3 linked regions of the Kluyveromyces lactis genome follow. The protein of the gene in region 1 binds, or shares a complex with, the protein of each later gene. Links are inferred from orthologs where the notes say so. Each region holds a gene or a part of one and is shown on either strand. Other genes may lie near its edges.

What was found.
Region 2: MRPS12 (region 1) and MRPS16 share a complex: the UniProt entries of both Saccharomyces cerevisiae proteins name them as parts of the mitochondrial small ribosomal subunit. The link is inferred for Kluyveromyces lactis from reciprocal best matches to the Saccharomyces cerevisiae genes MRPS12 and MRPS16.
Region 3: MRPS12 (region 1) and RSM18 share a complex: the UniProt entries of both Saccharomyces cerevisiae proteins name them as parts of the mitochondrial small ribosomal subunit. The link is inferred for Kluyveromyces lactis from reciprocal best matches to the Saccharomyces cerevisiae genes MRPS12 and RSM18.

The regions. Positions count from the first base shown.
Region 1 is NC_006042.1:670,209-672,334, reverse strand, and holds MRPS12 (mitochondrial 37S ribosomal protein uS12m), read right to left. Parts: upstream 1,126-2,126; coding exon 622-1,125; downstream 1-621. Other genes in the region: ARC35 (Arc35p), read right to left, coding at 1-221. UniProt on the Saccharomyces cerevisiae protein: Component of the mitochondrial ribosome (mitoribosome), a dedicated translation machinery responsible for the synthesis of mitochondrial genome-encoded proteins, including at least some of the essential transmembrane subunits of the mitochondrial respiratory chain.
Region 2 is NC_006042.1:2,519,181-2,521,562, forward strand, and holds MRPS16 (mitochondrial 37S ribosomal protein bS16m), read right to left. Parts: upstream 879-2,382; coding exon 516-878; downstream 1-515. Other genes in the region: mRNA-binding protein RRP12, read left to right, coding at 1,602-2,382. UniProt on the Saccharomyces cerevisiae protein: Component of the mitochondrial ribosome (mitoribosome), a dedicated translation machinery responsible for the synthesis of mitochondrial genome-encoded proteins, including at least some of the essential transmembrane subunits of the mitochondrial respiratory chain.
Region 3 is NC_006041.1:409,188-411,605, forward strand, and holds RSM18 (mitochondrial 37S ribosomal protein bS18m), read right to left. Parts: upstream 1,095-2,418; coding exon 627-1,094; downstream 1-626. Other genes in the region: protein kinase PKP1, read left to right, coding at 1-493; KLLA0_E04577g (uncharacterized protein), read right to left, coding at 1,324-1,710; KLLA0_E04599g (uncharacterized protein), read right to left, coding at 1,995-2,372. UniProt on the Saccharomyces cerevisiae protein: Component of the mitochondrial ribosome (mitoribosome), a dedicated translation machinery responsible for the synthesis of mitochondrial genome-encoded proteins, including at least some of the essential transmembrane subunits of the mitochondrial respiratory chain.

The sequences.
Region 1 (2,126 bases):
TGTAAATCGTTCCCACTCTCATTACAAGATTGCGTAGCCTTGGTTCTGATGGAAACTAATAGGTTCGACTTATCAGTGCCATCGTTGGTGATGTGTAACGTTGTATAATCAAAGTCGGAGATGATTCTGTCCAAAGTTAAAGGAGACCCATTGTTGTAAGCTTCCAAAGCTTCTGTTAATGTCTTTTGGACCAATAGGTTGTATGGTTTAAGGTGTAACATTATTATGTATTGATATTAGAAGGCTCACAAGTGTTCACCCAGGCTTTTTTTTCGAACAAGTCTATGAGCTTTTCTTCAATTGACTTGGAACAATATCAACTTGTAAGTTTCCTCAACACTGAGCAGGTTTAGTCTCTTCGAAATTTCCCAATTCCTTGCAGATGATGAATCTTTCTTTCTGTTTGTTCCAATAGGGGCACCTTTTCGTTGAAATCGTTGTTAACTAAATTTTCAGCACTTTTCTATGATGGAAAAACCATCCGAACAAAATTTCGGTCACGTGGCCATAAAGATTGAGCAACCAGTAGATAGATTATTCGCATATTTACATGAAGGTCTAGTTTATAAACATAAGTATATATTTTATGTTGATAATTCAGAATATAATACTGTTGGTATCTTACTCCTTTGTTGGTTTCTTCACACCGTACTTCGATCTGGAGCTGATTCTGTTGACAACACCGGCCAAATCACCGGCACCACGGACAACATGATATTTCACACCAGGTAAATCTTGGCAACGGCCTCCACGAACATATACAATACTGTGCTCTTGTGCGTTATGGCCTTCGCCTGGGATATATGCAGAAACAATGTTACCATTGGTTAATCTCACTCTACAAGCTTTTCTCTGAGCAGAATTAGGTTTCTTTGGCTTCAATACCATCACTCTTAGCACAACTCCTTTACGAATCGGGCATACCTCCAAATCTGGGGATTCAGTGATCTTCTTACGGCCAGGAGGCTTGACCCCTCTCTTTATTTGGTTCAACGTGGCTTGTATTGGTGAAGTATATGAGAAAGAACGTTGTTGCAGTGGTGGTGCAAATGCTATGCTTGAACGAACATTACGCAACGATAGTCTAGTCAGACTACTGCTCAATCCGAAAACCTGTTTGAACATTGGTATCTTTGACAGGATTGTTTCTTAAGATCCAGTGCACGTAAGTCAAACTCAGAGTTGAACTTACGCCAACATTTATTCACTGACCGATTGATATAACTCTTTCAATTCAACATTTGCTTCATAATTTTTTGTCAGTTTCTGATGATGAAAAATCATAGTTGAAAATATTCGGAAGTCATGTGATCGAATATGTGTTGTTGCTGATGTCCGGGAAATTGTTCAGAAAATGTGCATGGTTTGAGAGATCTTTTAACCTAAAAGATTTTGTTCATTTCGTTGGGAACACCAGCTGCACTATGCGGGTTCCGAATTACGAGAAAAGTCCTTACTGAGGTAGTTGTTGTATTTCCTATTTTGAAATATCAAACAACTATACTGGATTATGGACGATCAAGCTGTAAGGTGGGTGCAGGTAAATAGGGTGTTTGAACCAACTACTTGAATTATGCGTGATAGAATATTGCGGGGTAGTTTGACTTCCGGGCTCGAGTAATTAGGTAGGCTGGTGTTAAAGCGACTGTCTATTTTTTTAGTTTTTGTATCACGTGCATAAGATCAGATAGTTTTCTCTCCTGGTGTCTGCTGCCGAGTAACAGCCGTTCCGTCACTATTTGGCAAAATGCGTCAAGATAGCCCCATATACGGTAGTTAACGATAGCAATGGCTTATATACACCTCCATATCACGCTAGCATGTGGTAATGAAACACTAGTGAGATTTTGACGGTTTCCTATATGAAGAGGGTAGTGTTGAAGCACTATTGCGGAATGTATAGAAAAAAAAAAAAAAAAAAAAAAAAAAAAAAACAGTAGGTACACTTTAAAGGAAAATAAATCTAGTTATAATAAAGTCTAGTGAATATACAAGGGTTTGGCTCTTTTTTTTGGCTCGTTGATGCATCCGCCACACACGAGAGAAGTGTTTTCAATTGGCATTCTTGAACCTTTCTTATATGTCTGGGGTATTCGGTTATAAGATATTGTGAGGCTAATTCTTGT
Region 2 (2,382 bases), about 1.8 Mb from region 1:
ACACAATTTGACTCGATGTAACATCATGAGCACTAATCTCCAATACAAACCTGAACATTACACCAAACATACCTATTAAATACTTGAGAAGTTAGACATTCACTCACTCATTCACAAAAACATAACATAAACCATCTTTTTGTTCTTGTAATTTTGTTAATATTTATGAATTTTCGGAAATCACATAGTTTAACAGTCAGTATTCCTCGATGATACTTCCCTCATTCAGGGAAATATATGCTGATGACGATTATTATTATTGTGTAGAATTACCTGATAGCATCTTATATATGGTGATATGTAAATTTAATCACTTCAATTTTACCGCATGGGGCCAAGCTGTTAAGTGTATGTAACTACTACATTGGTTTATGACCGGAAAAAGTGCCCGAATTCCTCTTATCAATTTAAGCCTATATACATGAGTTCTTGACCGTAAGAAAGCCTTGGGAGATGGTGATTTATGCCCTGATTATTGATATACCGCTTTTAATACAGTAATCGGAACAGCTGGTCTATTCTTCAAAGACTTCTTTCCTAGGTTCAATAACAACCCTACTACTTGTGTAGGTCTTTCCCCAATTTTCATCCAGGATTCCAGCTTTTCTCAATAGTCTTGTTACCGTATCACTAGGTTGAGCACCAACACCGATCCAGTATTTAGCTCTTCCGAAGTCTAATTCCACATCTTTAGTAGGAACAACACCTTGTTTAACCTCTTTCTTCGTTAATGGTTTTGGGATTGGGTTGTATGTTCCTAATACTTCAATTGGTTTCCTATTCAACGCCTTATGTTTGTTGGTAACAACTATGTTGTATACTGGGGTATGTTTCCTTCCGAATCTAGCTAGTCTTATCCTCACCAAACCTTTCGTCATGATTATTGTATTTCACCAAACTTGGCGTTAAATTCTGGTTTAAGAGACTTGGTTTACTCGCTCTGGTCGTCTTGATACATAATATGTTTGTCCTGTTATTACGCTTTTAATGTTGATTGAATTTTTTTTTCTATCTTTCGAAGGATTTTCAACACCAACTAAATAAAGCATGTCTATCACGTGATATAGGTGGGATATCTAACAGCCGTATGAGCAACATTCGTCTTAGGCGTTTATGGCGACATTACAGCCTAATAGTATAGGAAGTTGATCTATGAGAAAGTATCTATAAGTGAGAAAGTGTTTATTTACTGGAGTTAGACTGACGGTGGGAATTAGTTTACCAAAAATGCAGTCATATAAAACGACTTGGCATTACAAATAACATCGCATTCAGTAAAGAAAGTTAACGACACAAATAATGAAATAGTATGTTCTTGAACCCGTTTAGCAGACGCATATATACAGAGTTGGCATATATTAACCAAAATTTATTTACTTTTTATTCTCTGCTTTCTTCATTGCCTCACGATCCTTGCTGCTTCATCACTAAGGGCTTAAAAAGAAATTTTTCACAAGCTGTATAAAATTTTCAATCTAGCTCATCTCATCGCTCATCTCATCTAACAAGTAGAGACGAGTTATAATCAACAACACCTCAGAAAAGAGAATTACTGAGTTTAACTTGGGATTGAAAACTGACAAGCGAACAAATTGTGCAATATGGGTCCTGAACAAGCGTCCAAGCTTCTTGAACTTGAAGATAAGCTTGCTAAAATCAGAGGACAATCTACATCAAAACTAGAGAATCAGAAGCACATTGCCATAATCTTGGCTGCTATTGAAGAAAATATTAATGAGCAAGAGGCAATTAATAAGAACATCGTGAATTATCTTATTTCTTTGATGTCCTTGCTGGATCAAACTATCGATACAGAAACTGCGGCCATTAAAGATCTACAATTAGCAACATCAACGATGTATTTGTTGGACATCATTTTTCATTATACACCAAAGAAAATATTAAAGAGCAGGTTTGCTGATATTTTGATTAAAGTTGCCCCATGTATTACTGATGAAAAGGCTAACGCTCCTTTGATCAAATCCGCTCTTGGTTGTTTAGAAGCTTTGTTAATTGCCCAGGATACGCAAACGTGGAATAACACTCAAAATTTAAAGGTGACTCCAACAAGAGGTTTGGATGGTCTACTTGAGCTATCTCTAGATCCAAGACCAAAAGTAAGGAAGAGAGCACAGGATGCAATTACCAACATTCTAAAAAACCCTCCACCTGGTCCAACAGCAGAACACGTCGCATCACCTTTGATCTCAGCATTCGCTATTAATGCATTGGTATCCATCCTTGATGAATCTGCAACGATTTCCAATAAGAAGCTAAGAGCAATGGGAGGTGCAAGTGAATTGAACTCCAAAATCATTCATATTTTGAAACTTTTGAGCAATATAATATCAACAAATCAATGGCCAACTGCGCATGTGGAAA
Region 3 (2,418 bases), on another chromosome or scaffold:
TGTTAACGATTTGACATTTATCAAATACGATAAGACCGTTCCAGTGAAAATTATGGAAGGGTCTGATGTGAAATTTTCATATATACCTACGGATCTAGAATACGTCCTTCAAGAATTGCTTAAGAACAGCTCGAGAGCACATATTGAAAACAACGTTGACAAAGATGTGGAAGTAACAATAGTGAAAAACGACGATCAACTTGAGATCAGAATCAGAGACTTCGGAGGCGGTATAGATCCACAGGTAGAAGACCGAGTCTTTGATTATTCTTTTTCCACAACGGTGAAGGAAGAGAAGGACAGCGGTATGAGCGATTATGTTTTACCTGGTCAAGAAGTCCAAAACGTTGCAGGTATGGGATTCGGACTTCCAATGTGCAAAGCGTACCTAGAGTTGTTCAATGGTACACTTGACATTCAGTCATTGTGGGGATGGGGTACTGATGTTTATATACGATTGCACGGTCCATCGGATAGACTATTCGACAAATGAGAACACTGTACTATCATTCAGTCCCGGAGCTTTCCATTGCAACGTGTTTATACTGTTAGCGCTATTTACAGATATAATCCTATTTATTGAGAAACATATATTCATATATACAAGAAGTTATCACATGTCATGATTAGCTTCTGTTTGCAGTTCTTTGAGGAAGCACCGATATGTCTTTGTGAACCTTAGACATCAAACCTATTGCTTGGCATCTCTTAATAGCCTTTGTTAGACGACGCTGGTTCTTAGCCGATAAACCAGTTACATCTCTGTGTAATATTTTACCCGTTGATGTCACAAATCTTGACAAGAACTCTGGGTTGGTGTATAAATCAAGTGGATTGATCTTCAATTTGTTGAATGGGTCAAACGATCCAGGACGTACCCCAAACTTCTTATCTAAATGTATTCTTTCTAAGGAGAAATCAAATGGATTGTAAACGGAGCCCGGCTGAAAGTTTTTGATTAACTTGGATTCTAGCTTCTTGATTGTGGGCTTGCTATTAGCTTCCGACATACCTTCTTTCAGAAGTTTTTGGTCAAGACTGTTGCAGACATATCTTGTGGTAGAAAAGAATCTTGCGCAGCTGCGGGAAAACATTTCTTCTGATGTGTTTTAATTTATTCAATCTCTCGTTAACAGGCGTAGAAAGGCCCGAGCGACTTGGTTGTTTTCCTTCTCTTGCTTGCTTAATATTCATGTTATTGAATAAAATTTTCCATGTTGAAAAGATCTCTAAATTTCAAAAAAAAAGAGATTGAAATAAAGGATACTTAAGTCATTGCCAGGCATTCAACCTTTTTCCTGTTGTCAACCCAGTTTACGCAGATCAACCTTGGAGGTGTAGCGCGATTGATCGGAAAGCTCTTGCAGGAAGTCGGGCATCCCTGTGGATCAAACCCGGCGCGCTCCAGCACCTACAGGCCGATGCAATCGGCCTCCTATTCTTTGACCTGGCCAAAACTGATGATCCGTTTGCTGGGTACCGGCGACGGTACCGCTGAGCGCTGCTATGCCGGCAGTCAGGTTGGTTATAGCCAGCAAAATGGAGCCGAGTGCCTACCCAGGTCAGCGGTGCGTTGCGCTTGGTCACGTGTGAGATTTCGTGTGCCAGCATCGAGGCTAGCTGGCTTTCATTGTCGGTAACCTGCAGCAGTAATGGATCTTTGATCAGCGGCGCGCTGGCGCGCTGCTGCCGCACGTAGAAATCGCCCATAGCCAGCCGTGGGCCACAATCAAACGTTTACCCCAGCTTTTCGGCAGGGTCTTGATTCTTGGCTGGATCTGATGGGAATAATGAATCAGTAAATAACTGCGATTCTGAACTAATTCGAGGATTTTATCAATATTGGTGTGATTTCCAATGTAACATCAATTCATCTATTATCAGTCAGTGTTCTATCCGCTCTGGTGGTTATTCAGGTTAAGTAGGTTAACATATAAACGTAACAACAAATTAAAAAGCTGGAAAATATTACTACTTTTCCAGCTTTCAATCCATTAATCGTTAAATACAAAACTTTCTTCAGCTAGATTGTGGTCTTTTCTATAACTCTCGTCCAATATTAAATAATCATCTGGTTGTTTAGAGCTTACTCCTTTCAACCAAAACTGTTCACCGTAAGCTATCAGCATTGCCCAATGATACTCAAGTTCATGGCTACGAAGACATACTGCCAGATAACTATCAATGGGCTTACATACTAATGAAGACGATAAAACCATTAATTCAGCCTCATCTTCTTTTTTATTTGCATACTTAACGATAATTGCTTTAAGCATTTCTACCCAAGTATGGAAATTAAAAACAACTGTTTCTTCAGGATCATCTTCGTCTTTAAAAACAACTCCATCAACAATTTTATCCTTATTAATCATTATCGACAACCTCTAACTTTAAATCTATCAAACAGCGCAGCTGCTT